2 linked regions of the Caenorhabditis elegans genome follow. The protein of the gene in region 1 purifies or fractionates together with the protein of each later gene. This does not show direct contact. Each region holds a gene or a part of one and is shown on either strand. Other genes may lie near its edges.

Region 1 (14,927 bases):
GAGCTCCTGGAATTATTTGATTATTGATTGAAAAAATAATATGGAGACGCAGAAAAATGCGCCTTAAAATTTAAAAATCAACGTGGAAATGTGCTCCGCCTCCAAATTATCGGTCTCGTTAGGTATACATGGCGGCAAAACTGGAAAATTCAAAAAATTCGAATTTCAATTGTTTTATGTCGAAATTGATGAAAAAATTGTTTTTAAATGCATTTTTAACGTCATTTTTCCGTAAAAATCACGAAAAGCAACAGAAAACTTCTTCAAAGATTTTGTCACCAAATATTTTCAAAAATCAAAATTTTTCGATTTTTTTAAACGATTTTTCGTGTTCCGAGGAAAAAAAATTGAATTTTCACTAATTTCCGAAGAAAAATTAGTTTTTTAAATCGAAATCCACTTTTTTTTTTGATAAATTCATAGTATTCTTCCATTTTTTCTCCTAGATTATCTCTGAAAATATCCGAAAAATCGAAATTTTGACCGCGCACATCGATTTCAAATATCAAATCAAAATCACCGTGTGGAATGTCTTATATGTCGATGCAAACCGAGCATACCACGCATTGGTGAGCCCAAACGACGATTCGAGCTCAATTCTCAGAAGAGAAATACTTGTAAGCTGGCTTGCGAAGTTCATTCCGGACTGAAAATTTACAATTTTAAGTCTTTTCTTTACAAATAAATTTTTTAAATATACCGCAACCGGGAAATAAGCCACAGTCTCGTGGCCCTGTGTGACATGAGATCGCAGTGCACAACTTCCACAAAGCGCCAACGATTTGATATCCAAATCCACCTTAAAAAATCATTTTTCAATTTTTTTTTTTTTTTTGAAATTGGATATTTTCCGGACCTCGGCACCCAAATTCTCCACGACGTCGTATTTGAAGGCATCAGTGACGCAATTGCGGCAGACGAACATGCTGGAAATTGAATTTTTTTGTTATTTCTAATTAAAAGAGGCCTACTCCGATTCGTTGTCGTATTTGGTGCATTGAGTGCAGTCCACTGCATTTGCAGGCTTCTTTGGCTTCTCACGAAGCTTTTGGATCATGGTCACAGCATCTGAAAAATAGTTTTTTTCGGGAAATATGAATATTTTTAAAACTTGTCAATGCAAAGTTTTTTGTTCGCTTCTCCTTGCTAACCACGGCCTGAAATTATTTTATTTTTAAACAGATATCAATATATTTAAGCCATACGCGGCATGTCGGGCATTGTGTCTGGCCACCAGATCCATATGCGTCAGAATAATCGCTTTTCAAGTGCACAATGCAAGTTTCGCATAGAGAATGGCCACAAGATATGATGAATGGAGCCTTTTGATCATCTGAAAATAAAAATGTGCTTGTTTTACAATAAAAATTGGGATATTTTTCACCAAATTCTTCCTGGCACACAGGGCAAGTCGGGAGTTCTTCATTAACATCCATTTTTCTCGAAAATTCTGAAAAATAAAGTTTTTTAAATTAGAAAAATCAATATTTTTAAATTTTCGTTATTTTTAATCGTCGAATAATTGAAATTTTCGTTTAAAATTAAGGAAAAACAATTTATACAATTTATATCCGGAAAAATTAATGTTTTTGCAAATATTTGAGTTTCAAGCGTTTTCGCTTCAAGTCTCAAGGAGGATAATGTGCTTGCGCCTTTAAAAACTACAGTAAGACCTTTGTTTATTTCGTCATCGAATTTCAATGTTTTGAATCAAATTTCCCGTGATTCCGGTTTGATTTTCACAATTTTATTATGTTTTTACACTATTTAATGAATTTTAATTCAGTATATAATAAAATCCATAGATTATCCACACTGAAAATCTACCAATACCGTCAGTTTCTCAAAAAAAAAACATTTGCCCAAAAAATGCCTGTTTTCCATGGAAATTCACATTGATTTTTAATTTCACAACGTTTTTTTTGCCAATTTCTTTCCAAAATTTCTCAAAGTACTTTCGCAAACTAATCGTTCACTTTTGCGTCATGGCTCTGTGCACTGGAAACTAATTTCAAACGACGCGCGCATTGTCTTGTGCGATGGAGCGCGCTTGCTATTTTCTAAAAAGTGCTCAGTATTTTTGAAGCTTTATGGTTTTTCCTTGTATTTTGCATAATTTTAAACATTTTTCTCGAGAAAAAATATTCGAAAAAGTAGAAAACGGCTGAAATTTGGTTGTTTTTAATTTTTTCCCTCGTTCCTCAATCTTAAAATCGAAGATTTCGTCATCTCTCACTGTTTGCGCAGTGCATGATTATGATAATTAAATTCTATTGCAGAAATGTGGCGATTATACCGAAAAACGCCGAAGCAGCTGAGAAATTCGGTCGAATCATGCTTCAAATCTGTCAATTCCCGCCAATTTTCAGTCAGCTCATTTTCAGCAGTAGCCAAAGATGATGTAATATTACCGCCTGCCAGTATACTGAAAATTCTGAATTTTTTTGCAGAAATCCGTGCTAAAACAACAAGAAGTTCTGCATCTTCTCGCAAAAGATCAGCGATTTGAAGAGCGATTCTTCAATCAAGTACAGCAGACAATTCGATATTTCGCCTCGAAACCAAATGATTTGAAAAAGTTCTTCAGGAAGGAAGCATCGACGGATAATAAAGGTTTTCAGAGGGAAATTATCATTAATTCGAAGTTTTTTCCAGAATCTTCATCATCTTCTGACAAAAAGGACAGCAAAGGAAATAAGGGAGAGGATAATAATCCGTTTAATCAATTGTGAGGAGGAATAGACACAAAAATCGGCTAATTTTGGCTAAAATCTGAAATTTCGCCCAAATTATCATCATTTAGATGCTTTTCACCACGTTATTTTGTTTATTGAAGTCTCGGAGAAGCCCCGGAAATCATTTCTAGTCGAATTTCTTTGGAGTATTTCAAAAAATTGACTTTTACAGGTTTCCCGGGCCGTATTTTGAACTTTTTGGCAAAAATTGTCCCAAAGATCCGGAAAAAACTTGTAAAATCCAATATTTTTAAAATAAATTGGTGATTTTAGCTAAAATTAGCAGTTTTTTTAAAAAGTTTTATTGGCAGAGCAAAAACCGTGCCAGAGTTGCAAAAATTGGCGTTTTTAGCATTTTCTCCATTTTTCCAGATTTTCAAAAATCGAAAATTCGGGATTTCGGAATCATTTCAATAAAATTCAAAATTTAATGAAATCACGAATTTTCCAAATCGTTGAAAAAAAATTCCGAGAAAAAAAAAACAAAAAAACGCCCATTTTTGCAATTCTGGCACGGTTTTTTGCTCCGCCCACGATGTTTTTGAGCGGGGCACCACGTTTTCAAGATCTACGAGAAGAAGATCTACGTTTTCAGGATCTGGCACCGTGCCAAGTGCAGTTTTCGCAGTTTTCTCGAAGAAAATCGAAATAACGATGCTCCGATATTACGCATCGCGAGTTGTTTAGCGTTTTTCAGAAGTTTTTATTCAAAAAAGGTTTTTCTGACTAAACAACGTGCGATGCGTAATATCGGAGCATCGTTGCTTTTTCTTCGAGTAGACTGCGAAAACCGCAGTTGGCATGGTGCCAGATCCTGAAAATGTAGACCTCCTTTTCGTAGATCTCGTTTCCGGCTAGATCTTGAAAACGTGGTGCCTCTTTTGAGCACATTTACCTTTTCTAAGATTTAAAAGTGGGGTACCGAAATCTGGAAAATATTTTCAAATGTCTCCAAATTTTCTTCTCATTCCAAATATCGATGTGAAAAAAATCAAAACAATTTTCTAGATTTTATATGATTTTTTGAAAATAGGAAAAATCACAGTTTTCACCTAATTATTTTTGAATTTCCGCCAATTGGATTTGTTCGGTGGAGCGTGCTTGCAGTATTTTTATCAATTAATTTTTTTAAATTCTTGTTCTTTGACTGATTTTCTTCATTTTCTATGTTTTCTCCTCGGAAAATGGAAGAAATAAACAAGACAAATGCAAAATTCTTGTTAAAAAGTAATTGAAAATGAGTAAAACTGTGAAATATACTAATTTCAGGCTTGTTGCCGTCGGAACTCAGAATATCACAGTTTTACTCATTTTCAATTACTTTTTAACAAAAATGTTGCATTTGTCTTTTTTATTTCTTCCATTTTCCGAGGAAAAAACATAGAAAATGAAGAAAATCAGTCAAATAACGAGAATAAATAAAATTAATAAATAAAAATAATGCAAGTGCGCTCCACCGAACAAATTCAATTGGCGGAAATTCAAAAATAATTAGGTGAAAACTGTGATTTTTCCAATTTTCAAAAAATCATATAAAATCTGGAAAATTTTTTTGAATTTTAATATCATGATATTCGGTCAATGTGACCCCATAGGCGCGTTTTAAAGCAATTTACCCACTGAGCGTAGTCCACCTTTAAAAAAACGGAGAAAACCTCTAAAACCCCTTAAAATCAATCTAATTCCTCCAATTTTCAGCCCAGGAGGATGGCAACAAATTGCCGTTTCAGTTGGAATTCTGCTCGCTCTCTACGCCTTTATGGATTATCAGTCGTATCGTGAAATTTCCTGGAAGGAGTTTTACAGTGATTTCCTGGAAGCTGGACTTGTCGAGAGACTTGAAGTAGTTGATAAGCGATGGGTTCGAATTGTTAGCTCGTCTGGAAAGTATGCAGGAGTTAGTTTTTTAGTTTTTGCACTGAAATTCGTGAAAAAATGAATTTTTTTCTTTCAGCAAACGTGCTATTTCAACATCGGAAGTGTGGATAGCTTCGAACGGAGCCTCGGAGCTGCTCAGCATCATCTCCAGTATGATGCTGATCGACAAATTCCGGTTTTATATAAATCTGAATTCAATTTGTAAGGATTTCTGCAAAAATCACTCCATTTCAAGAAAAATTAGAGAAAAAAAGAAAAAACCCCCGATTTTCTTAAAGAAAAAGCTCTGGGAAATGGGAAAAGTTATAATTTTTGCATGAAAATTCAGAAAAACTTTTAATTTTTCACATTTTTTGTAGTTAAAATTTTGTTTTTAAAGTGAAAACCTTCAGAAAGTCACTGAAAATGAAAATTTTGCACAAAAATTATGGAAAAAGTTGCTTTTTGCTCGTTTTTTGCACTAAAATTTCAAAAAAAAAATCCGATTTTTCTGATTTTTTGCCTGAAAATTTCAAAAACAAAAATTAATTTTGCTGGTTTTTTGCAGAAAAATTTTTAAAAAAACGCAGTTAGGCTGTTTTTTGCCTAAAAATTCGAGAAAATCTCAATTTTGCTGAATTTTTGCACTAAAAGTCTTTTAAAAAATCCGATGTTTCTGATTTTTTGCCAAAAAATTCAAAAAAAAAAATTTTGCTGATTTGTTGCACTAAAATTCCAAAAAAAACTCAATTTAGCCAATTTTTTGCACTAAAATTCCAAAAAAATCCGATTTTTCTGATTTTTTTGCACTAAAATTTCAACAAATATCAATTTTGCTGAATTTTTGCAGAAAAAATTTAAAAAATCGCAGTTAGGCTGTGTTTTGCCTAAAAATTCCAAAAAAAAATCCGATTTTTCTGATTTTTTTGCACTAAAATTCCAACAAATATCAATTTTGTTGAATTTTTGCACAAAAATTCAAAAAAAAACGCAATTTAGCTGATTTCTCGCACTAAAATTCTTTTAAAATTCTGATTTTTCTGATTTTCTGCACTAAAAATTTGAAAAAATCCAATTTTTCAGGCATTTTTACATTAAAACTCCCCCAAACTTCAATTAAAAACCTTTTTTTTTCAGCAAACGCGAAATCCCAAACCTCATCAGCGTCGCATTCCCTCTTCTCTTCGGCTATTACATCTATCGAATGCTGAAAGGCGGTGGAGCAGCTGGCGGAGCCGGAAGAGCTGGTGGAGGTGGACTCGGTGGAATGTTTGGTGGATTCGGACAAAGCACGGCTAGAGTCATTAATCGAGAAGATATCAAGGTGAAGTTCGCCGATGTTGCCGGTTGTGAAGAGGCAAAAATCGAAATTATGGAGTTTGTGAATTTCCTGAAGAACCCCCAGCAGTACAAGGATCTTGGCGCGAAAATTCCGAAAGGAGCCATTCTAACAGGACCTCCTGGAACCGGAAAGACACTTCTCGCGAAGGCAACCGCCGGCGAGGCAAATGTTCCATTCATCACTGTATCGGGATCCGAATTCCTGGAAATGTTCGTCGGAGTAGGACCTGCAAGAGTCCGTGACATGTTCTCAATGGCTAGAAAGAACTCTCCGTGCATTCTATTTATTGATGAAATTGACGCAGTTGGAAGAAAACGTGGTGGAAAAGGTGGAATGGGTGGACACTCTGAACAAGAGAATACTCTGAATCAGCTTCTCGTTGAGATGGATGGATTCACAACTGATGAATCGTCGGTCATTGTGATTGCCGCCACGAATCGTGTGGATATTCTCGATTCGGCACTCCTCCGACCTGGTCGCTTTGATAGACAGATCTATGTTCCAGTTCCAGATATCAAAGGTCGTGCTTCAATCTTTAGAGTTCATCTTGGACCACTTCGGACTTCCCTCGACAAGACTGTGCTTTCACGAAAACTCGCCGCCCATACACCAGGATTCTCTGGAGCCGACATTTCGAATGTGTGCAATGAGGCTGCGCTGATTGCGGCGAGAGATGCGAATCACGAGATTTCAAATAAACATTTCGAACAAGCCATCGAACGAGTCGTCGCTGGAATGGAGAAGAAGACGCAGGTTTTGCAGAAAGAGGAGAAGAAGACTGTAGCCTATCATGAAGCTGGGCATGCTATTGCTGGATGGTTCCTACAGCATGCGGATCCTCTGTTGAAGGTTTCTATTATTCCACGAGGAAAGGGTCTCGGATATGCACAGTATTTGCCGAAGGAGCAATACTTGTATTCAAAGGATCAGTTGCTTGATCGGTAATGATGATGCAGTTTTTAAGTTTTTATTTTTCAAAAAAATTTCCAAGAAAAAACTGTTAAAAACTGTCAAAATCGCGATTGGAAACACTTTAAAATCGTGATTTCTGGATATTTATAGTATCAAAAAGTGCTTTTATGAGATTTTCCCGACAATATTACACTTATTGCTTGATCGTAGTTACAAATTGTGCAAAATCGTGATTTCTGGAATTTTTTGAATCACGAAAACGTGATTTTTAAGCAAAAAGGTCCCCAAAATTTCACTTTTATGAAGCTTTGGCGGCGGATATGCACTCTAAAATTTTTTAATTTAATTTTTTTTAATCATAATTTTGAACCAGGAATAAGTCGACATTAGTTCGAAATTTAAAAAAAAAGCTCAAACAAATAGGAAAAAAGCTAATTTAACTTTTTCTCCCCAAATAATAAAAATCTTAATATTTTATTCAGAGAATTGAATTTTTTCGAAAATTTTTAATCTTTCCCTTCATTTAGGATGTTTTCCCAAAAGATTTCACTGTACTGATAAATTTTTAGCTGAAATTTTTCAATTCAAAATCAATATTTCTGATTTTTTTCAATTATGCATATTTCAAAAAATATTGTTTTTTTTTCGATTTTGCGATTTTTTACCAAAAAAAGAGCCAAATTTTGTTGGCAAAAGAAAACCTTTAATTTTTCGATATTTTTCAAAATTTTTAAAAATTTTTCAGAATGTGCATGACACTCGGAGGTCGCGTCGCCGAGGAGATCTTCTTCGGACGAATCACAACTGGAGCACAAGATGATCTACAGAAAGTTACACAAATGGCATATTCACAGGTTTGGTTTATTTTATTTTACAGCTTTATTGAGACGGAGCAAAAGTTGCAAAAAGTATTCGAATTTAATCTAAAACCGGCGATTTCTTGTCGAGAGCCTCTGTCAATCCTTCACAAATCGTCGACGCAATGCCAGTGTCCGGATCCACGTTGCATGTGCATTTGACTGGAGCCGAGCCGCTGAGAGCCGTGAAAATAATCAGAATTTGGAGAAGAAGAAGAAGAAGAATCAGTTGAAATTTCATGATTGAATGGATGGGGGAATGTTTGACTGAAGAGCTCTGAGAGAGCAGCTTTATCTGACATATGAAGTCGATTATGTTTTTGTTTCGGCGGGAGGAGAGCCAAGGAGAAATAGTGTGTGAAAAATGGAGAGTTCAGGCAAATACCAGAAGACATGTGTGAGCTGCTTTCCCGATTGAAACCATTTATTTAGAAGAAAACAGAAAAAGAATAAGATGAAAAGAATAGGACAAATAAATTAGATTGAAAAACAAAGAATGTAGGCACTCGAATAAATAGCTTAATGACGCTGAAGCAGGTTGAGCAGATGCTGTGGAGTTACGTATTGTCCACCACCACGACCATTATTTGGCGAGCCATTTCCGAATTGGATGCTTCCTTGGTCGCCGTTGGTATTTGGCTGAAATTTGAGATTTTCGGATACTAGATTCCGTGGAAATAGATTTCCCGAAAGACCCCGCCCATTTATTGACTTTTTCGGGGTTTTTTCGCTACAAAACTAGGTATTTTTAAGGAGGAACAGTTGGAAGGAAGCAATTTTGGCAGAAAATAGGCGAAAATTTGGTTTTTCGGAGATTTCATTCCGTGGAAATAGATTTCCCAAGAGACCCCGCCCATTTATTGGCCTTTTCGAAATGTTTTCGTTTCAATTTTGAAAAACGGGCAAATTTGTTGGCCAAAAATGTACAAGAAGGCATTTAAAAGAGAAATCTCAAAAACGATACTTATGACTCCTTGGAAGCAAATCCACCAAGAGGCCCCGCCCATTTATTGGTATCTAGCATTTTCATCTCGAACTGAATTTGTTTCAAAAAATGGCCGGAGCTCTTTAAAAAACATGTAAAGAGAAATCTTCAAAACGAATCAGACTCCGCCCATTTAATGGCTATTTCTAGAATTTTTTCGCTACAAAATTTTGTATACAAAACTGTGTGGAGATTGTGACCTTTTGAGGAAAAAAAACGCGAAAATTGCAATTTTTCAAATAGTAAAATGCACTCACCACAAAAATGACGTCAACTCTGTCCAATCCTTGATTAGTATTTGATGCTCTTGGCTGATTCTGCTGATTCGACACAAACGGATAACCATCTTGTGTTGTGGTTGTCGTCTGTCCATTTCTCTGATTATTGCATTCATCCAGGCGGTTTCGGAGACTTCTCATTTCGTTTGTCGTCTGTGCAGCAGCGTTTCGCAATTCATCCACAAGGGCTTTGTTTGCCCTATTGGCGTTCTTTTCCTTTTCAAGTTCATCACGAGCATCTTTGGCGTCATCTTCTGCTCTTTTCTGACGTCTGTTGGCTGTCTCAACTTCGTCCTTTGCTCTATCAAGATTCGCGTCCGAGGATGTTAGTTTAGCCTCCAATCTCATCACGTTTAAATCGAGTTTCAGAACTTGATTTTGACTCTTCACAAGTTCTGCAGACTGGCTATCGAAATTACGTTTCAAACTGACCATTTCTGCTTCTAATTGTCTTTTTTCCGCTTCGAGCTCATCTGCTTTGTCAACCTCCTGAAAAAAGGTGTCCTAATTTTTTCGAGGTGATTTGAGATTACCGCACCTTTTTAAACTTTTCCACCAGCCTATTATACTGGGCTCCTGTGTATGTCTGTTGTGCGTTTGGACCGCTGTAAAAAGGTGGAAATTAAGAAAATTATCGTGAATAGATGCACCGAACTTTTCTGCTTTACCATGAATGTCTTAAAATCACTCAAAAAATCACTTTTTGCTTAAAATTTGCCTTTTTCCTTATGGGGTTATTCAAGTAGTGTCGGAAAATTAAAAAGTGTAGAAAAATTACGTCACAACCTTATTCAAGTATATAAAAAACATGTATTTAAATACATTTTTGACGTCACAAATGTATTTTAATACATTTTGCTACATTACTTGAATAACCCCATTAAATTTTTGGGAATTTTTGGAGAATATTATTTTATTCATCCCTTTAAAAATTTTCTGAATCAATTTCGATTAAAAAAAAATTTTTTAAGCAAAATGCCGATTTTCTGAAAAAAAAACGTTTTTTTCGGAAAATTTTTTTTTTTAAGTATCGATCCTAACCAGATGTGCCGCCGAAAAAATTTTCCATTTTTCCATTTTTTTATTGAAAAAGTGCAAAAAGCCAAAAAAAGTCCTACATACCATGAAAAAATTCCAAAACGTTGATTTTCTTGATTGTTATGAGCTAAAACTCGTATAGTTTAGGGTATTTTTTACTGTTTTGAGCTTTTGAAAAAAAACAACTTTTTTTTTCTAAATATTTAAAATGTGTTTTTTGGCATTAAAAAAATAATAACCTGGCCGAAGCTGCACGTGGTGCCAGGCTGTCCCATTACGACTTGATCTACAAGAAATGCGGGAATTTTTCTCCCAGATAAATGTGACGTCAGCACAGTCTTAGCCATGCGAAATCAGTTAAGAACTCTGCGTCTCTTCTCCCGCAATTCTCGTAGATCAAAACGAAATTGGTGAAGATGTACAGCTGAATTTCTCGGAGCAGTCATCAGTAACAAGGGTGTCATTTTTCGATCTTTTCGATTTTTCGGTGAAATTCGAAAAATCGAAAAATTGGAAACCGAAAAACGAAAATTTTCGATTTTTCGATTCTCTGGTAAATCGAAAAATCGAAAAAAATGTTCCAAAAATTAACCATAAAATATGATTTTTTATCTAATTTTGCTTATATTGATAAGAAAAAACCTTGAAATTTCTTCTAAACCCAAAATATTAAGCTAATTTTTGAAAAATCGAAAAAAAAACTTTTCCGATTTTTCGATTTTCTGAAAAAAATCGAAAAGTCGACACCAGGGGTGGGCATTCTTGATTGATTGATTTCTTGACATTTTGTCAAGAATCCCTCCTCAAGAAATTTTTAATTCGAAATTTAGGCTGAATTATTTTCCAATTTTTGTAATTTTCAGAATAAAATAACTCAAAAAACATCATAAAACCCGATTTCAGTTGAAAGAATGAGGATTGCAGAAAGAAATTCAAAAAGATTGACAACATCTTTATCGAAAAATGAATAATTTTGCACGTTTTGTCAATTTTTGAAGTTCCTTCTGTTGATATTCGTTTAAAAAAAAGTTAAGACTGAAAAATTGAACTATTTCTTTCAATTTCGTTCAAAAATATTAGCCGAATGAAATTTCTTGATTTTTCTTGATTTCTTGATTTTTTCTTGACATTTAAAATCAAGAATTCTCGATTGATTGATTTCTTGACTTTGAAAAAGTTTTCCCACCCTTGATCAGTAACACTCTTTTATCGAAAAAAATTACTAATTACTATGCCATATCAAAATCCGAGATTTAATTTAAAGATTTATCCCTTGTAAGTCAGAAAAACCTCACCCTCCTTGAAGATTGTGCAGTGAATTCATAATACTGGCCAATTGAGTTGATGTAGATGCTCCTAGAACGGCATTCTTCGAATCATTTGTAGCATCAGAGGAGACGCAGGCAGCGATGAGAATAAGAAGTATGATCTTCATAGTTTGTTGAGATGGTTGATATTAGAACGTTCGTCGGGATTCCTTATATAGTAAGATTCGGTACCAGGCAGTGTGCGGGAAGAGAATGAGTCAGTCAGTGGTGTCGGGCAGTGTGAAATTACGGATGTATCATTATTATTATTATTATTATTCATACTACTATTGTAGTATACATTACATTGCACAATTGCTGCACACAATAATACAAAGACCTTTTTCCTTGCAGGTCGTCAAGTTTGGAATGAGCGAAAAGGTCGGACCGTTGTCGTTTGAGACACCAGCTCCGGGAGAAATGGCATTTGATAAACCGTACTCGGAGGCCACCGCACAGCTCATTGATCAGGAGGTAGGATTTTGGTAGAAAATTAGTTTTTTTCTACGAAAAAATTGGAAAAAATCGAAGAAAAATGATATTTTCTGATAGTTTTCAGAAAAATGGCAATATTTTGAAAATTTTAATTCAAAATTAATTTATAATCTGTGGGCGGACTTGCCGATTTACCGGAAATTTTTAATTCCGGCAATTTGCCTATTTGCCGGAAATTTAATTTCCGGTAATCTGTCGATTTGCCGGAAATTTTAATTTTCAGCAGTTTGCCAATTTTCCGGAAATTGTCAATTCCGGCAATTTTCCGGTTTGCCGGAAATTTTCAATTCCGGTAAATTGCCGATTTGCCGGAAATGTTCAATTCCGGCAATTTGCCGTTTGGCAAAAATTTTAAATTCCGGCAATTTGCCAGTTTTCTGGAAATTTTCAATTCCGGTAATTTGCCGATTTGCCGGAAATTATAGTGTTCAGCAATTTGCCGATTTGCCGGAAATTTTAGATTCCGGTAATTTGCCGATTTGCCGGAAATTTTCAATTCCGGCAATTTGCCGATTTGCCGGAAATTTTCAATTCCGTCAATTTGCCAATTTGCCAAATTGCCGGAAATTCTCAATTCCGACAATTTGCCAATTTGCCGGAAATTTTAACTTCCAGAAAATTGCTGATTTGCCGGAAAAAATCGTTTGCGCGAAAATTTGACTTTAACCGAAAAATCCAATTTAAAAAATCACCCAAAACTATATTCGATTAAAAAATACAAAATTTTCAAAATTGCCGGAATAAATTTTTCAAAAATTCAATTCATTTTTAGTTGCTAGAGAAAAACTACAGTTTTTAAATTTCTCAAAAAATGATGCGTTCAAATAAAATTTCAAAATTTTCTGGTCCTGGAAAATGTTTTTTCTGAAAAATGTTTTTAAAATTCATGAAAACACTAATTTCAAAAAATTTTCTAGAACGTTTTTTTTTTGGCGTTTCGAAATGTAGAAAAAAAAATGTAGAAAATTTAGAATATTAAAAATTTTAACATTTCCAGGTCCGAGATCTCGTAATGAACGCACTTCGCCGAACCCGTGATCTATTATTGGAAAAGAGAAGTGATATTGAACGAGTCGCATTGAGACTTCTTGAAAAAGAGATTCTTAATCGTGAAGATATGATTGAACTTGTTGGAAAAAGACCATTTGTTGAGAAGAATACGTACGAGGAAATGGTCTCAGGTACCGGAGGACTCGATGAAAATGTTGAACTTCCGAAAGGTCTCGAAAATTGGAATAAGGAGAGTGAGAAGAAGAAGAAGGACGAGGAAAAGAAGAAAAATGATGAATAATTTGTGAAATTTTATTTTTGAAATTCTGGCGAAAAAATGGGGAAATTGCACATGTTTTGCTCTTTTTTCTGAAGTTTCAAATTTTTTCTCTCAATTTTTGAAAAAATAGACTTTTCTAAACTTTGAATAGCTTTGTCGCAGTAAAAAAAATGATTTTTCAATGTGAAAATGTGAAATTTTTGACTACATGGAGCATTTTCTGTGACAAAGTGCATAAAAATTTAGAAAATCCAATTAAAAAAATAATAAAATGCCAGAAAAAAAACCAAATTTCACTAATATTTTTTTTCTGATTTTTTTCTGTGCGACCGGATCTCTTCGAATTTCTTTTTTTTTTCTAGACTCAATTTTTTCATTTTACTGTTATATTATATTAGTTTTGTAGGATTTTAGAGTTTTTCACCATCTTTCTTTTTTTTTCTAGCATCGATTGGTATCACTTTTTCCAATATTCTTCTCTGTTTTTTTTCATTTATTTCTTGTTTTTTTTTCGTCGACATAAGGTGAATTTTTTTTTGTTATTTAGACCTTGTAATTCGACATTTCGTGCATAAAAATCTATAATTTTCTATTTTTTTTGCTAGCCTTTTTTAAAAAGTTTTACCGCATTTTTATTGCTTCTATACTTTTTTTAAAATTATACTTTTATTCAAAAAAAATCAAAATTTTCAAAAAAAAAGAAATTGGGGGAAATTTGATGTTTTTTGATCGGAAAAAAACCAAATTTCCAAAAACAAAATTTTTTTTTTGGAAAAATGAAAAAAAGTTTAAAATAATCGATATAAAACCAAAATCCGATTTTTTTAGATTAAAAAATAAGCTTTTTGGATTTAATTTAGAATATTAAAGACTTTGAGCTTTTTTGCTGAGAAATCAATCAAGATTTTCTGGGTAAAAAAATTCAAAAACTGAAAAACCACATTTCACGAAATAAAATTCGAAAATTGTGTGGAATATAAAAAATACCAGAGATTTATATGAATAATCAATATTTCTGAGAAAAATACCTAAAAATTCAAAAAAATTCAAAATAGACTTCAGAAAAAAGCCACAAACGGAAACTGAAAAAATCCAACTTTTAAAAACTCGATTTTTCATTTTTGGCTAATTAATTTCCTCCAAAATGAGCACTGCGACCAATCAGCGATTTGCTCCGCCCATTTTTCAACCAATCAAACGGAGTGGGCGGAGTTCGAAGACGCTGATTCTCATTTTGGAAGGAATTAAAATTGGAAATTTTGCCAAAATGAAAAAAAAAACGATTTTGTTGTGGTTTCTCTGAATATAAAACTATTTTGGGAATTTTAAGACAAACTGGGTTACTGTAATGGAGCTAGACCAGTCTACAGTAACCGGGGCTTAAAGGCGCACGCTTCAAAATGATTAAAAACCTTTTGAAATTCCAGATGAGCGGAAGAGGACGTGGTGGCGGATCTTCGAACACTATGCGTAGTGTCGCCAACGCGTTGGGAATCGCTCGATACGATATGGCGAAAATGATGTCACAGCAGAAGAATGAGCCGCCACAGTTGTATCCGGTACGGGCTGTGGAGCACCGGAATAAGAATTTGAAATTTTTTGAAAAAAAATCTGGAAAAATTGAATAAAAAACCATAATTTTATCACCCAATTTTGCGACTTTTCCGTCAAAGTGTCAAAGTGTCTGGTCTCGACACGGCAATTTTTTATTAGTTCAGAAAAGGTGTGCGCCTTTAAAGATTACTGTAGCTTCAAACTTTCGTTTCTGCGGAATTTTTATCGATTTTTTTCTCTCGATTTGTAAACATTTTATTGTTTTTATTACTCTAATATTTCAGTTTGTTAATAAAT
Region 2 (15,359 bases), 8.4 Mb from region 1:
AAGATCTTTTTTAATCTTCTTCATATCAGCTGTTTTCAGCTTTTTAATCGTCTCATCGTCATCTCTCCACAGCGTATACAGTGGCTCCGGCTCTCCGCCGCCTTTCTTCTGAAGAACTTCGTCTCGAGCCAATTTCGTGATCATTAAGCCGATATTAATAATAATGAGCTCCGATCGCTCGGCTCCGTGAAGCTTTTTGCAGTGATTTGCCAACGAAACTTGCAAATCGTTCATTGTCTTTGGATTTTCGCGGAAAATGATTTTTCTGATCAAATTCACTGTCGCAATTGCTATGGAGGAAGAGGAATCACGTGGAAATCTGGAAAATGAAGGAATAATTGAGTTTTTTCATCAGAAAACTCACTTTTTTCGTAAAGCAAAAATAAATGCTCGCTTCAGGTCTTCAATTTCATTGTCCGAGCTCATTTTGAATCTGTACGGGTTTAAATTTTATTTCTAATGTTTAAAATAAAAGAAATAAATTGAAAAAAAAGCAAGTTTTAACTTTAAAAATACACTTTTTGCCAAAAAAATGCAAAAATGTGTTGAAATTATCCTAATGCAAACGCGCTCCACGACTAACTTTCTCCAGTGTACTTCTCTCGAATCAATTTTTGTACTCCTCGTGGACATTCTTTATTTTAAATTTTTATCCATTTCTCTGTAGATTTTACAGTAATTCTTCCAAGATTTTTTTGTGAACAATGAATAGAAAACGCTCAAAAGAAGACGTGGGTGGGTTTAATGGTTAGTAAAACTTGTGAAAGCTTCGAAAAATCGATAAAATACCAGAAAATGCTTCAGATCTCCCAGCAAAGCGTCCTGGAACCAGTCAAAACTCGATACGTGCGGCACTTGAAGAGAAATTAGAAAGATCTCCGATAGGTGATTCAATTTTTAAATTTTTACTTGAGAAAGTAGAAAAATAATAATTTTTTTCATTTCAGAAGACCTAGAATTACAACTGGAACAGCCTGAAATTAATGTGGAAGAGGTCGGAAGAATCATTGCCGATGGAATAATTGAAAAAACACTGGATGACGAAAAACTGAAGGAGCTAACACTAAAATTCGCAAAAAATGTGCCAACTATGGCGAATATTAGCATTTGGAATCTGTCCGAAGAGCTGAGCACTGGAACAATTGATAGTAGACTTGTAGTCATTGGAAATGCATTTCTGGTACGAAATTCCAAGAAATTATCTGAATTTTCACCTAAAAAACAAAAAAAACTGGTTTTTTTTCAGTGGAATTTGCTCAAAACTTCAATGTCAAGCATTCGCGAGAAATTTGAAAATTATAAATTCAAAATTCACACAATGAGTGCCACGTCATCATCTCTACAGTCCATAGACTTCTCATCTTCACGTATCCGAGCCGGCGAGCATTGTATCCAGGAAACTGAGATTTTCCGGAAAATGGATCTTTTAGAAATCTATAATTCTGTGGTTTTTCGAAAAAGTGGAGATTTGAACGGGAAAAGCAAGCAGATTATCAAGAATTACTTTGCTGTGGTTGGAAAAATCAAAAATGCATTAAAAAAAAAAAAATGTTTAAAAAGTCGATTTTTTCCAGGCATGCCAGCCAAAATGCGCAATTTGGCACTACAGCCTCAGACAAAGCGGTACTTCGCACAAAAAATGGCTTCAGGACATTCCACCGCATGTTGTGCACACTTTGCTCCGTAAGAGCTCAGAAAAAAGCTCAAAAACCTCGAATTTCATTGGGAAAAACGCTCAAAAAATTCGAAAAAACGTCTAAATTTAGCGAAAATCTCAGATTCTGATTTTTTAAGAAGGCTAAGGCTTAGGCTAGACTTAGACTTTAGGCTCAGGCTTATCCCTAGGCTTAGGCTTAGGCTTTCGGCTTCTTCTTCTTCTTCTTTCTTAAAGAGAGGAAAAAAATCCCAGAAACTTCAATAATTCAGAAAAAAGAAAAAATACGGCGAAAAATGAGACAAGCCGGACAAAAAAAACAATTATGAATTTTTCTGAATTTTGTTAATTTTTGTAGTACATTACCACTTTTTTACTTAAAAAGTGCCAAAAATGTGCAAAATTTAGCTGAAATTAGGCATTTTTTGTAATTTTTCCGTCAAAAAATGTCCAAAAATCACCAATTTTGCTCTTTTTCAGGTCCATGTTTCGTATTTTTTTCAACTTTCAACCGGAAAAGTGCAAGAAATCAGTTTTCAATCGCTGAAACAATGAAAAATTGCAGATTTTAGCTGGAATTTGGCGAAATTTTAAGATTTTTGAGCTATTTTCTCCTTCTTTAAATCCAAAATCCACTAAAAATCTATTTTCCAGATTTCCTGATCTGCCTGGCCGGACTTGGAGCCCCGGAGCTCGACCAAACTTTCGAAGAAGCTACCGATTCTAGCGAGTAAGCCTGAAACCTGAAACCAGTTAAAAATTAATTGTCAATTTTTTTCCAGCTACGTGGAGTCTCTTGGCGACACAAATGGAGCCCGTGAGGTGGCATTTGAGACTCTAAAGTCGACCCGTGAACAACTTTGCTCGAAATTCCGACAATGTGTGACTGATGCTTTGTAGGACCCCCGATTTCTTCCTAAATTTTACGTTTAAAAATCGATTTTTTTAGGAATGAAGCCCGAGAAATGCCGTATAACACTGTCACAAGAGAGCTTATGGCGCCTCCGGTAGGGTTTTATCGATTTTTGCTGTGATTTTTTGAGCACTAAAAATCCGATTTTCAGCGCGGAAAACCAGTGGATATGCATCATTGTGTGACGTGGCGCCAGTACGAAAGCCTCATCAGACGATGCGATACGAATCCGTCGAAAGAGAATTTAGAGGCGAAACAAGACTTGGAGTGAGCAAATTTCCCATTTTTATTCGAATAAAAAATATATTTTCAGCTTCAAACTCATGTTCACAATCTACCAGCCACGTGCCGACGATGAGGAAGCGGAAATTGATGTTAAGAATTGATTTTTTTTTGTGTTTTTCGAATAAATGTTATGATTTTAAAATGTTGTTTTAGAATTATTGAACAATTTCAGGGCAGGCAAAAAGAGCATGTAAATTTCAGAAAACTGACCTTTAAAACTGATAAAACTTTGTCATACAGTTAGCTCGTTGCAATCTGCTCTCAATTTATAAAAAAAAAAGATTTTCTTCCACAAAAATGCGTTTTTTAACTTTTTTAAATGATTATTTTTCCCAGTATATTATAGTAATTGAGAAACGCAATAAAAATGTTCCCCGAGGTACTGTAGTCGGCGGAGTACGCAATACACTTCGCGGAGTGTATTGCGTAGCGTGCGCAAGACATCACGCGCAAACAATTTTTTGAAATGTTTTTTTGTCGGAAAACCAGTTTTTATCGCAATTTTCGTCGAAAATATTATTTTTTCCAGCTAATTTTCGGTTGAAACGAGCAAAATGTCTGCTGCCCGCTCTCGTCGCAATGGCAAATCCAAGGAAATGGAGGATTTGATTGAAAAGTTTGTTTCTTCCTTTGACTCTATTTAAAAATTGTAAATTTTCCAGGAAACGGATCCAAAAGACAATTCTCTTGCGGAATAGCAAAATCGCCACCAGAGCATTCATTCTGTCCCTTTATCTCCAAAAAATTCCAGTTTTGAAGGCATACGACACGTTTTGTGGGGTTCTCGGAGACGATTTGATGGAATATCGGGAAATTTGATTTCTGGTACTATCAAATTGGAAATGGAGATGCTAATTTGACCTGTAAAATGAGGTTTTTCAATTTTAAAGTGATTATTTCCATATAATAACTTTCAGCTACAACCCAAAAAGTCCGATTTTCACCGATTTTCCCGACACGGTTGTCCATACAGTTTTGGAAAAGCTATTGCCAGCGGAAAGGTGATTATTTTAGCCTTATTATTACAGAAATAATTTAAAAATTGTAGAATGGTGGTTCGAAATGTGTCCAAGAAGCTGAGAAATCACGTGGTGTCAATCTGTCTCATTGCGACTCATTGCGAGAAAATGCGGAAAAAATTTTCAAAAAATCGTGACGTCACAGAGGCGAGAGTTCATTAGAGCAGCTTTGCTGCATGAAATTTAGGTACCGATTTTGCAATATTTTTCTGCTTTTTATCGCATTTTTAATAGTTTTCAGATGATTTTTTCGAATTTAATTGCATCATTATGTTTAAATCGTATTTTACTTCATAAAATCGACCCAATTTTTCGTTTTTTTTCGCTTAATTTTCAGAATTATCGAGAGGAAACGGATTTTTGGGCGAATGAAGCCGTTTCATATATGTTTTCGATGAAAACGATAATGTTAATAAGCTTTACATGTACTTTTCGGTTTTATACTTTCTTTATCCGTCTTTTCCTTATCTGAGCAACGTTTTTTTCAGGGTTTTGTCCTTTTCCGGGCCGCAGTGAGCACGAACACATTGGAGAGTTCGAGATCGTCCAGAGAGAGTGAGAATTTCAAGTAGCTCTCACAGGTTTGTGTTGAAATCGAATTGCAAAGTGAAAAGTACAAATTTTGCAGGCCACACAATGCATGGAAGCCCGAGAATCACACCAATCACAACCGGAACAACAAGGCTCACCGTAATGGGATCACGAAGCCGAAGAAGCACATCTTCCTCTCCATAGAAGGAAGTCGACGCCAAGTTCATCAAGAACCTCCGTTTCGAGGTTAGATATAGATCCGGCGATCTTTCTTTATTATCATTGTGATAAGATAAGACATGCAATTTCGATTCCTCACGAGTACAACAAAAAAATTAATGTCGGGGTTTCATGATTTGCTTTTTTATAAATTTGTATTAGAACAAATATTTTCAGATTGAGCGACGTCGGCGAGCTGGACATTGTTGATGCGTATTTGGGATTGTTCGCAATAAATTGGCAAGAGGAGAAAGTTGTGAAAATCCTCGGAGCTGGAGAACTGCCTGCAAACAACAAAAATGCTGCTCCAATCAAATATTTGAATGATTTGGATATTCTTCTCGATGGAAGAATCATTTTCGCCGAATCATCAACAAAATTCGATGATCGTGATTCCATTCTGGATCTCTTCGAGCATCGTCCAAATGGTCGTCTTTTAATTTATGATCCAAGAAAGAAAGATTTGAGAGTGCTAAAATAGTACTAAAAGCGAAGGAAGCACATCTTCCTCTCTCTCTCTGTCGACGTCAAGTTCATCAAGAGCCTCCGTTTCTTCAGAAAGAACAACAAACGTCAGATCAACAAGCCCGTCGAGTCACTACGTAAGTTTCGAAACAAGGGTTTTCACCCTGAAAATTTGAAATGCTAAATTTAAAAGTATTTTCTTAAAAAGCAAAACATGTTTTGTTGGGAAAAAACAAATACTGAATGCAAAAATGAAATAAATCACGCAAAAAATTATATAACAAGGTCAAGCAACATAACAAATAACAATTATCAATTTCTGAGAAGTAACCGGACCGGAAACAATTGGAAAGTCAACGGAACGCAGAGAAATGGTTAGTGAAACAAGAAAAACGACATCGAACTAACTTAATTACGAATGTAGTCGCATGTGGCATAAACGTAACATTTAATGAAAATCATTTTAAAGCAATATGTTGCCCGCGTAGATAACTTTGCAGAAGTTCGGATTTGAGCATTGAGTTTGTTGTACCACGAGTGAAGAGACTCGATACCCTGCTCACTAGTCAACGCCCAGGTCTTTTTTGCGTTTACGAACGGCATCACGTGCTCCAAGAGCACATGAAGCTTTGGAGTGACGACGTCATCAGGAGCGTAGCTTTTTAGGGCTTCCCAAAGGTCATTCTGAAATATAGTTTATTTATATTTATAAAGAAGCTAGTGTAGTTTACGATGTGTTGATCCATTAGTTTAATTTCATCATCACTCAGTGTTCGGGCAACGCATAGTTTTTGCAATTTGCCAAGTGAAATGAGAAAAGTCGCGATGCCGTCACGATCTGAACCAGCAGGAAAAATGCCTAGATAGTCGAGGACCGCAGCTTCTTCCAATAATTTTAGCGTGTGATTTCCTGTGAAATTCTGCTGCCAGGCAGACATATCAGCACCATGGCGTTTCCAAATTTCCTCAAGCCGCTTTCTCGTTTTGTTCTGCCCCCCCCCCCCCGCGGTTTGGATGAGACTATCGTATTCTGCTTGAGCTAATCTGTAAATTGAAATGCTTTCTTTAAAGAAAATATAAATACTCCAACCTCAAATCTTCCATCAATTTATTCTTCTCATTTTCCAGATGTGCAATGGTGGATTCAGCTTCCATCTCGATGCGATTCACCGTCATGGATCGACACTCGAAGCAATCCACGTCAGGAGAATCTTCAGTGGTAAGCTTCCAACTTTCAGGGTCCCACAGCCCACAGCATACGCCGTGTACAGACTTGGAACAAGTCTGACAGTCCACTTTGCGCCCATCGTATGAAGTTGCCAGTTTCATAGTCTTGTCCTTGAACAAGCACATCGCTGCTCTACACGGCTCGGCTGGTGACTTGTACCCGTTGACTTGACGATCCTTGAAATTTTGAACAACCTGAAGAGCACATTTTGTTCCTGAAAGAAATTCTTCCAGCTCCTCCAGTTTTTCAGCTCTATCATTGACTACTGCCTTCGAGATCCTGGTTTTCTTGATGTCACCCCTTTTTAATTGCATGGAGGGGTTATCCAACCTTGCAGCCCAAAGAATCAGGTAGTCAAACGCGAATCTCTGGGCTACTCCCATGATGATATGCAAGGATGGAGGAATCACGTTGAACAAACTGATGAGATCGAACAAGAAGCTGGAATTCTGTACAACGTTTCTTCTTGCGACATGATGTGATGGCTTGGACGGTTTGGAGCTATCTCTCTTGTAGTCATCCGGAGTTCTGAGCTCAATGTTGTATCTGCGAAGGTACCTGCTGATCGACTGCCCTCGTAGCGAAAAGCACTGCATGCACTGATAGGTACTGTTTCCTCCCTCATGACCAATAGCATCGCATTGGAACTTCATATCTCCCCCAAGATACTGCTCCACAGGTACATCAATGTCCTTATCGCCTACTTTTATCTTTAGGAATAATAATCGATTGAGTTGTTCAACGATGGGACCTAGATACTTTCGAATGTTTTCACTGCTTTCGTCATCATTGAAAATGCCAAGTGGAATTAGATGGAAACAGCTGTTAGGTTGGGAGACATTTCCAATTGACAAACATAACTTGAATTCTTCTGATCCTTTATCGCCGAGGATCGTAAGCCAAATAGGATCGTCTCCAACTACCATCTTTCCATTAGCAACTAATTCATTAATCCTTTCAGTTAACATTTTGACGACGTCGAGCAGATGAACGGCGACCACGGATTTACCGTCAACGGTATGCTCGGTGACCTTGAATTGATCCGAGGAGCCAACAACTTTCTCCAGCTTTTTGATCTCATGAATAGATGGCAATGGATCGATACATCCACTTCCTCGCAGCATTTGTTTCAACTTGGTGAATCGTCTTCTCGTGAGGTTGCTGGCGTGATAGAGATATAATCCTTCCCTCTTTGACATCTTCCATTTCAGAAGACCCAACTTACTCAATCTTCCAAGAAGAAGGCGGTAAAATTCAGAAGATTCGCCGCCTAAAATCACTTTAAATAACTGTATTTGTAGGTATTTCTCACCACATCGCTGAAGTTCAGCTCTCGCTATCTCTATTCTCCTAAACTTCTCGCTCCTGCTGATGAGATTTTTGAATTCAGTTTTGAAAGGTGGCCGTTTCCCTGCTTTCAGGTCCCGAATCATCTTAACATCTTCGACTTTTTCCACATCTGCCATTCGTAATTCATCATTTTTTCCTGAAAGTTGCCGATCTAATTCCCTTTTTGCAGTTTCCAAACGACGGTTTTCAGTTTCCAAAACTCCTTTCTCCCGTTTCAACTGCGTCCAACTCTGTTTCATCGTTTTCAGTTCTTCTTGTACAGCCTAAAATATTATCTATTTCAGCAATTTCTTATCTCTATTATATACCTTGTACTTATCATTCAACTTTCCCAACTTCTCAGAGTGCTCTCCATTAAGCTTATCCCTAATTTTTTTCAGCTTTATTTCAGCATCTTCTTTCAAAAGTTTTGCATCGCTCACGTCCCTTGTCAGCTTCTCATTGTCTTGCAAGGCACGTTTCAGGTCGGATGATAAGGATACACCAAGAGGCGTCGTCATCCTAAGCGGCGTAGACATGGCTTCCTGTTAAAAAATGTCACTTTGCCCAGAAAATTTTTGCATAGATTCCTTGGAGGGGTCCTACCCTTTTTAAAGCACAACAATATTTAATAACATTTATTATAGTATAAACAATTTAACTTTTCAGGATGACGAGGATGGTCGGTATAGATCGATGGCGAGGATGGTCGGGATGCATCAATGACGAGGATGGTCGGGATTGACGGCTCGCGACAGGACCGGTACCTTCGAATCAATTACTATTTTTTTTCAGGTCATTTTTTATTTATTGTAGACCAATTTCGAAAATTAAACCCCGTAGGGCATTTTATTCTTCCAGATTCGTCGGCCCTCCGAGCAGCTCCAACAGCAACAACAACGGCTCCAACCTCCCCAACCGCTTCAACAGTAACGACGAAGAAACGAATAATCTATAAATGTATTGTAATCATTCTGTCCCTTTATCTCCAAAAAATTCCAGTTTTGAAGGCATACGACACGTTTTGTGAAGTTCTCGGTGACGATTTCATGGAATATCGGGAATTTGACTTCTGGTACTATAAAATTGGAAATGGAGATGCTAATTTGACCTGTAAAATGAGGTTTTTCAATTTTAAAGTGATTATTTCCATATAATAACTTTCAGCTACAACCCAAAAAGTCCGATTTTCACCGATTTTCCCGACACGGTTGTCCATACAGTTTTGGAAAAGCTATTGCCAGCGGAAAGGTGATTATTTTAGCCTTATTATTACAGAAATAATTTAAAAATTGTAGAATGGTGGTTCGAAATGTGTCGAAGAAGCTGAGAAATCTCTTCGACGAGCGCTACCGTGTCATCAAAAATGTTTACATGCAGGTGCAAGACGAAGAAGCGATTTTATTTTTTGAAAATCATGAGGAGCTGGAAAAAACGTTTTCATGTAATGGAAATGATGGAAATGAGAAATATTTGGAAATTGCATTGGAAAAAGTAGCGAAATTCACGAAAAATCATAAATTGGAAGAATTTGAAGTTCATTTCGATGATGAAGCCGGCGAAAAACATCGATGGGGGCTGTATGATGATGTTTCGGATATGTTTAAAGCTTCAAAAGCTGTTCTGAATACCAAGAAATTCTCAATTGAACTATTGCGGCCGGATGATGCGAAGGCAGCGTTCTCTCACTTTAAGCCAGGAAATCTCGAGGACATTGAAATTGAATATTTCTGCACTGGATACAAGTACCCAAAGTATCCCAGGTGTCCTCGATATGATGATGATTCAGATGACAGTTTTGAGGATAATATGGGAATGTACGAGCAGCTCACCGAGCTCGCGCACTGGCAGAAAGCGAAAAAAGTCAAAATCGGAGTGGATGATTCGTTGGATTTTTCAATTGAAGCCCTTTTTCACTTGGAAAACTTTGAGATTTCCTTGAATAAATTCACGAAAAATGATGCTATCAAGATTAGAGATGTAATTTAAAATTTAAATTTTTAAATTTTAAAAATGTTCGTAATTTCACTTATTTTTTCAGGTTCTCCTGCAAACCGCTCACTTTCAATCCGGAATCATCACATTCTCCAAAGATCCAGGAGGCACTAACATGTTGAAGGTGTTCAACCCGAAATATTCTGGCGGTGAAAATGGTCCAATTATCTATAAAACCAAGGATTCTCGCTTCGAAATTGGGCTTGGATACTCTTCTATTGAATTTAAAAGAATTTAAACGAGAACAATGAAAAAATCGACATTTTTTGCTGAGTTTTTTTGTTAAAACGATATTTTTTTGTTCTACATTTTGATTCGGTGCAGTTTTTTTTTTTATATTCCGCAACTTTGTTTTCTAATAAATTCTTTTTTATGTCATTACCCAGTTTTATTTTAAAAAACAAGTATTTTTATTGTTTTTCTCATATTTTCATGAAAAAACTAAATGAAAATCGGGAAAAAGCTTCAAACACAATTATTTTCGACTTTTCTTCAGAATTCTCTATTTCGCCATGTTTTTTAGCATATTTCATAGCGATTTTGTGTCAAAATATAGAAAATCCACTTGGTTTATCTGAAAATAACATTTATTTCAGCTGAAACATGCCCAATCCTGATTAAAAAGTTCTCGGGCTACTGTAGTCGGCGAAGTACGCAATACACTTCGTGTTGCCTATTGCGTAGAATACACAAGATTTCACGCGCAAACATTTTTTGAAATTGTTTTTTGATTTGAAAAACGTTAAAACTAGATTTTAATCGCAATTTAAATTGTAATTTTTGCAGTTTTAAACGAAAAAAATGCCGAAATCCATCGCTCAATCTCGACGCGATGAAAAATCCAACGAATTAAAGGATTTGATTGAAAAGTATGTTTTTTTTTCTGCCATTCTTAAAAAGTTTATTTTTATATCTTTCAGGAAACGGGTCCAAAAGACAAATCTCCTGCGAAACAGCAAATCTGCCACCCGAGCATTCATTCTGTCCTTGTATCTCCAAAAAATTCCAGTTTTCGAGGCATACAGCAAGTTTTGTGGGGTTCTCGGAGACGAATTGATGGAATATCGGGAATTTGACTTGTGGTACTATCAAATTGGAAATGGAGATGCTGATTTGGACTGTGAAATGAGGTAATTATCATAATTGGCAATTCGTAGTACTTTATAACTTTCAGCTGGGATCCAGAAAGCCGCGGTCTCTCCGATATGCCACTCGCAATTGTTCACAATATTTTGGAAAATATTCCTCCACTGGAAAGGTATATCCTACTATGAAATCAGCAGAAAAATGAAAAAAAAAAAAAAATTTCAGATTCGTTATTCGTGATGTCTCCTCGAATCTGCGATCTCTCTTCGACTATCATTATCCTGTTATCAAAAAAGTTACCATGGAGGTGAACGACGGCGAAGCTCGCTTGAAGTTGAATAATCAAGAAAGTCTTCAACAAAAGTTTAGAAAAAGTGATGAAGATGAGGATAGTAACTCATATTTGGAAAATGCTATGGATCAATTGGAGACTATCACGACAAATAATAAATTGGAAGAGTTCGAATTAAGATTTGGAAATGATCCGGACGAAAGAAATCGGTGGGAGTTGAATGGGAAATTCCGAATGATGTTCTTATTTTTGCGTGTTCAGTTAAACAGCGTCCGAAAATTCTCGATCGGAATGTTAAAACCTCATGATGCGCAATGGATGTTCTTTCGCTTCAAGCCAAGAGTTCTCGAGGAAATTGAAATTCGACATTTGACTGTCAAAGACACAGAATTTGACGATGATGAAGTATTTGAGGAAAATATGGAAATTTACAAGCCGCTCACCGAGCTCGAGCACTGGCAGAAAGCGAAAAAAAGTCAAAATCGGAGTGGATGATTCGATTCATTTTCCAATTGAGACGTTGTCGCATTTTTCGCATTTCGAGATTCGTTTGAAGAAATTCACGATTCAAGATGCAGAGAAGATCAGAGATGTATGCTAAAACACCGGGGATTTTCGTTATATATTCTGTTTTTTTTTTCAGATCGTCCAGAATTCCCCTTCTTTTCAATCCGGAATCGTCAGAAGCCACATCAAAAAGCCCTACCAATTTGTGAAGATTTTCAACCGAAACGTTGCACAACAAAGTGGCTCAATCATCTATAAAACAATGGGATCTCGCTTCAAAATCAATTTTGGATATGACTCGTTTGAGATTAAAAAAGAAAACAATAATTAATGTCCGGCCTTTGTTAAGTTTTTGTTTAAAGTTTAAACAATAAAATTGTTAGTTCGATTTTTTTTTTGATATTTCTTCTTATTATATTTGAGTTCATTCATATTTCCCACAGTGGTACTTTCGAAACTTGTTATTTTTCGAAAAAAAAAACACGGCGTTCCGACTGTTCTTTAGCAAATTTTAGCTCGTTTTTCGGCCTAATTTGAGTGAACTTAAAATTAAAATAAGCATGAAAATTCTACAGAATTATACCTATTTTGCCATGTTTTTTCAACATATTTCATTGAAATTTAGTTGTTTTATCTGAAAATAACAATAATTTCAGCTGAAACATTTGAAAAAACGCTCAAAATTGGCCAAATTGCTTTAAAACATGCCTATGGTACCACAATGATCGAATATCATGATAAAAAATTCAAAAAAAATTTCTAAATTTTTATGATTTTTTGAAAATTGGAAAAATCGCAGTTTTCCCCTAATTCCTATTTAAATTTCCGCCAATTGAACTCGTTCGTTGGAGCGCGCTTGCATGATTTTCATTATTTTCCTATTTATTTCTATTATTCCACTGATTTTCTTCATTTTCTGTGTTTTTTAAATGCGCGCTCCACCGAGCGAATCCAATTGGCGGAAATTCAAATAGGAACCTATAGGAATTAGGGGGAAATTAAAATTTTTCCAATTTTCAAAAAATCATATAAAATCTAGAAAAAAATTTTTTGAATTTTTTAAAGGCATGTTTTAAAGCAATTTCCCCACTGGCCTCACTCTACCTTTAAGCACAAATCCACAAACTCGACTCCCCCAATGAGTACAATGTCAGAGTCCGATTCCTGCTCTTGTTCTGAATTCGACGAATCGATGGATTTGTGTTACGAGTTTGTTGCTTCTTTAGTTTAAACTCTAAATAATATGCATTTTCCAGAAAAATAATAGAAAAGAAGAATCTTCTGCGAAACAACAAAATTGCCATTCGCTCATGTATTCTGTTCCTGTATCTTCAGAAAGAGTCTGTCTATAGTGCATATCACTCGTTTTGTAATGTTCTCGGATACGGTTTGATGGAATATCGCGAATTCGACTTTTGGTACTATCAAATCGGAAATGGAGATGCTGATTTAGACTGTGAAATGAGGTAATTAACCGAGCCGCGACGCGACACGCAACGCGCCGTAAATCTACCCCAGGCATGACCGAGTCAAAATGGCCTAGTTCGGCAAACTCTTACATTTCAAAATATGAGGGAAGCTAGCGAGAGCGCCTTAAACAAAATAAAATAACTTTCAGCTATGATCCAAAAAGTCGCAGCCTGCCCGATATGCCTATCCAAATTGTTCATAAAGTTCTGGATGATATGAAACCATTTGAAACGTCAGTCTTCAATGCTTACTTAATTTTTAAAAATAGTTAATACCCAAATTTTCAGATTTCCTATTCGTAATGTGTCTCGAAACTTGAGATCTATCATCGACAATCGCAATTCTGGCATCAAAAAAATCTCGATGAGCATGGGCTACGATCGATTGGAGTTGTACCATGATGACGATGACGAAGATTATCGATCGTATACGTGTCGGAAGAATAAAAAAATTCGCAATAAGGAATATATGAAGAAACCATTGGACGACGTGGCGATTCTATTGAAAAATCCGAATCTTAAGCTGGAAGAGTTCAAAGTGGAGGTCAATGATGAATTCACTGAAAGATTTGAAGTTGCTAACTGCTATGAGAATTTCAAGGAGACTTTCAAAGCTTCGGAGGCGGAAATTAGTGCTAAAAAATTCACGATTGACATGCTGGACCTGCAAGATATTACCCAAGTCGTTTCCCATTTTAAACCGGGAGATCTCGAAGAAATTGGCATTGATGAGCTCTCCAATAAGAAGGACGTGGAACAGTATTTATGATGATTATGTTGATGAAACAATGGATATGTACTTGGCTCTTTTTGAGCTGGAGCAGTGGAAGAAGATTAAGAAACTTCGAGTCTGGGATCACCGTTTTACTTTCCCAATTGAAAATCTCTTCCATTTGTCGGGTTTTGAGGTTAAAATGGAAGAATTCACGGTTGATGACGCCATCAAGATTAGAGATATACTTTAGAAAATTGATTATTTTCAATAAATCTGATTTTTTTTTCCAGATTCACATGAAATCCGATCACTTTCAATCCGCAATCATCAGATGCTCTACAATTAAGGCTTCTCAACTCGCGATGCTTTTCAATCATGAGCAATCAGACGAAGAACATGCTCCGTTCGTCTATGAAACCGAGACGTCACGCTTCAAAATTAGGCTCACCTTTGGCTATTTGGAAATTAAAAAAGAACAGTGATCTCGTGTTGTTTCCATTTTTTGAAATTCTGTTAAACATTGTTACTTGTTGATGAATTTGTTTTTTTTTTTCAGACTTTCTAAATTTAAAAATTAGTCGAGATTCATCAAAAATACAAGTTTTAAAGCAATATTCACAAAATAAAATAATCAGAAGCAATTTAGAAGTCGATTTGCATGACGACCGGAGCATGGTCGCTTCCCATCACCGAGCTCATGATATCACTGCGTTTGACCTGAAAAAAGAACATTAAAATTGAATTTTAATTTGGATTTTATCAAAATTCCAGTGGAAAAATTGAATTTCCACTTGGATTACGTCGAAATTTCAGTAAAATTCTAAATTTTTAAGTGGATTTCATGGAAATCTTCTGAAAAATTTCAATTCCCCGGTGGATTTTGTCTAAATTTTTTTGGAAAATCAAATTTTTATGGCAAATTCCATCAAAATTTCGGTATCCACCGGGATTTTACGGGAAAAAATCCCAGACATATTGCATTTTTTGCCCATTTTTTCAATTTTCCACAGCTTCCAGACGAGACCTTATTCATAATTCGATTGCTGACAACATAATAATCCAATCTCCATCCAACATCTTTCTGCCGAGAATTCGCCAGATAACTCCAAAATGAGTACTTCTTCTCGTCGGGATGCATGGCTCTGAAGGTGTCGGTGAATCCCAACTCGAGCATCTCACTGAACCATCCACGTTCTTGATCTGTGAATCCCGCGGTTTTATTTCGATTTGATTCTGGATTCTGAAAGGATCAGGGAGTTAATTTATAATTTTTAAAACAAATTTAATACAATATATTTACTTTCAGATCAATTTCATTATGTGCAACATTCAAATCACCCCCGTAGATCACTGGCTTCTTCTCGTCCATCTCCTTCATCTTCTCGGTCAGCAGCTTCTCCCAGCGTCCTCGTTTCTCCAAATTCACCAGCTTCGCGCCCGAATTTGGAACGTAAGCTCCGATAAAGTAAAACTTGGAGAACTCGGCGATGATCAGACGTCCGGCAGTGTCGAATTCTGGGTCACCGATTCCTTTGTGAACCTTCATCGGAGCACATTTGCTGAGCAGCCCGACTCCTGCGTAGCCACCGTTCTTCTCTGTGGAGACGACGAGGGTTTTGGTGTAGTTCTGGAAAAAAATTAGCTTTGAAAAT

What was found.
Region 2: the proteins of spg-7 (region 1) and Y47H9C.9 fractionate together in Caenorhabditis elegans (co-fractionation; one large-scale study listed by BioGRID). This does not show direct contact.

What each region holds. Positions count from the first base shown.
Region 1 is NC_003279.8:3,464,853-3,479,779, forward strand, and holds spg-7 (AFG3-like protein spg-7), read left to right. Parts: upstream 1-2,279; 5' UTR 2,280-2,281; coding exon 2,282-2,401; intron 2,402-2,450; coding exon 2,451-2,613; intron 2,614-2,655; coding exon 2,656-2,728; intron 2,729-3,269; exon of another isoform or gene 3,270-3,335; intron 3,336-4,433; coding exon 4,434-4,632; intron 4,633-4,689; coding exon 4,690-4,814; intron 4,815-5,729; coding exon 5,730-6,875; intron 6,876-7,591; coding exon 7,592-7,700; intron 7,701-7,805; exon of another isoform or gene 7,806-7,924; intron 7,925-8,112; exon of another isoform or gene 8,113-8,222; coding exon of another isoform or gene 8,223-8,342; intron 8,343-8,945; coding exon of another isoform or gene 8,946-9,455; intron 9,456-9,504; coding exon of another isoform or gene 9,505-9,571; intron 9,572-11,299; coding exon of another isoform or gene 11,300-11,439; exon of another isoform or gene 11,440-11,448; intron 11,449-11,665; coding exon 11,666-11,785; intron 11,786-12,803; coding exon 12,804-13,097; 3' UTR 13,098-13,664; downstream 13,665-14,927. Other genes in the region: Y47G6A.14 (RING-type domain-containing protein), read right to left, coding at 1-6, 521-646, 701-799, 857-926, 972-1,068, 1,112-1,157, 1,206-1,333, 1,385-1,436; Y47G6A.15 (DUF148 domain-containing protein), read right to left, coding at 8,223-8,342, 8,946-9,455, 9,505-9,571, 11,300-11,439; Y47G6A.9 (DNA-directed RNA polymerase III subunit), read left to right, coding at 14,504-14,635.
Region 2 is NC_003279.8:11,893,295-11,908,653, forward strand, and holds Y47H9C.9 (Zinc finger PHD-type domain-containing protein), read right to left. Parts: upstream 8,183-15,359; coding exon 7,973-8,182; intron 7,928-7,972; coding exon 6,177-7,927; intron 6,131-6,176; coding exon 5,818-6,130; intron 5,771-5,817; coding exon 5,495-5,770; downstream 1-5,494. Other genes in the region: eif-2Bbeta (Translation initiation factor eIF2B subunit beta), read right to left, coding at 1-319, 365-426; Y47H9C.8 (NACHT_N domain-containing protein), read left to right, coding at 705-747, 805-885, 948-1,180, 1,247-1,513, 1,575-1,683, 2,309-2,384, 2,437-2,550, 2,604-2,661 and 2 more; Y47H9C.12 (Mos1 transposase HTH domain-containing protein), read left to right, coding at 3,407-3,468, 3,515-3,671; fbxa-216 (F-box domain-containing protein), read left to right, coding at 8,366-8,603, 8,646-8,766, 8,811-8,894, 8,942-9,623, 9,685-9,876; exo-3 (exodeoxyribonuclease III), read right to left, coding at 14,350-14,424, 14,732-14,947, 15,008-15,334.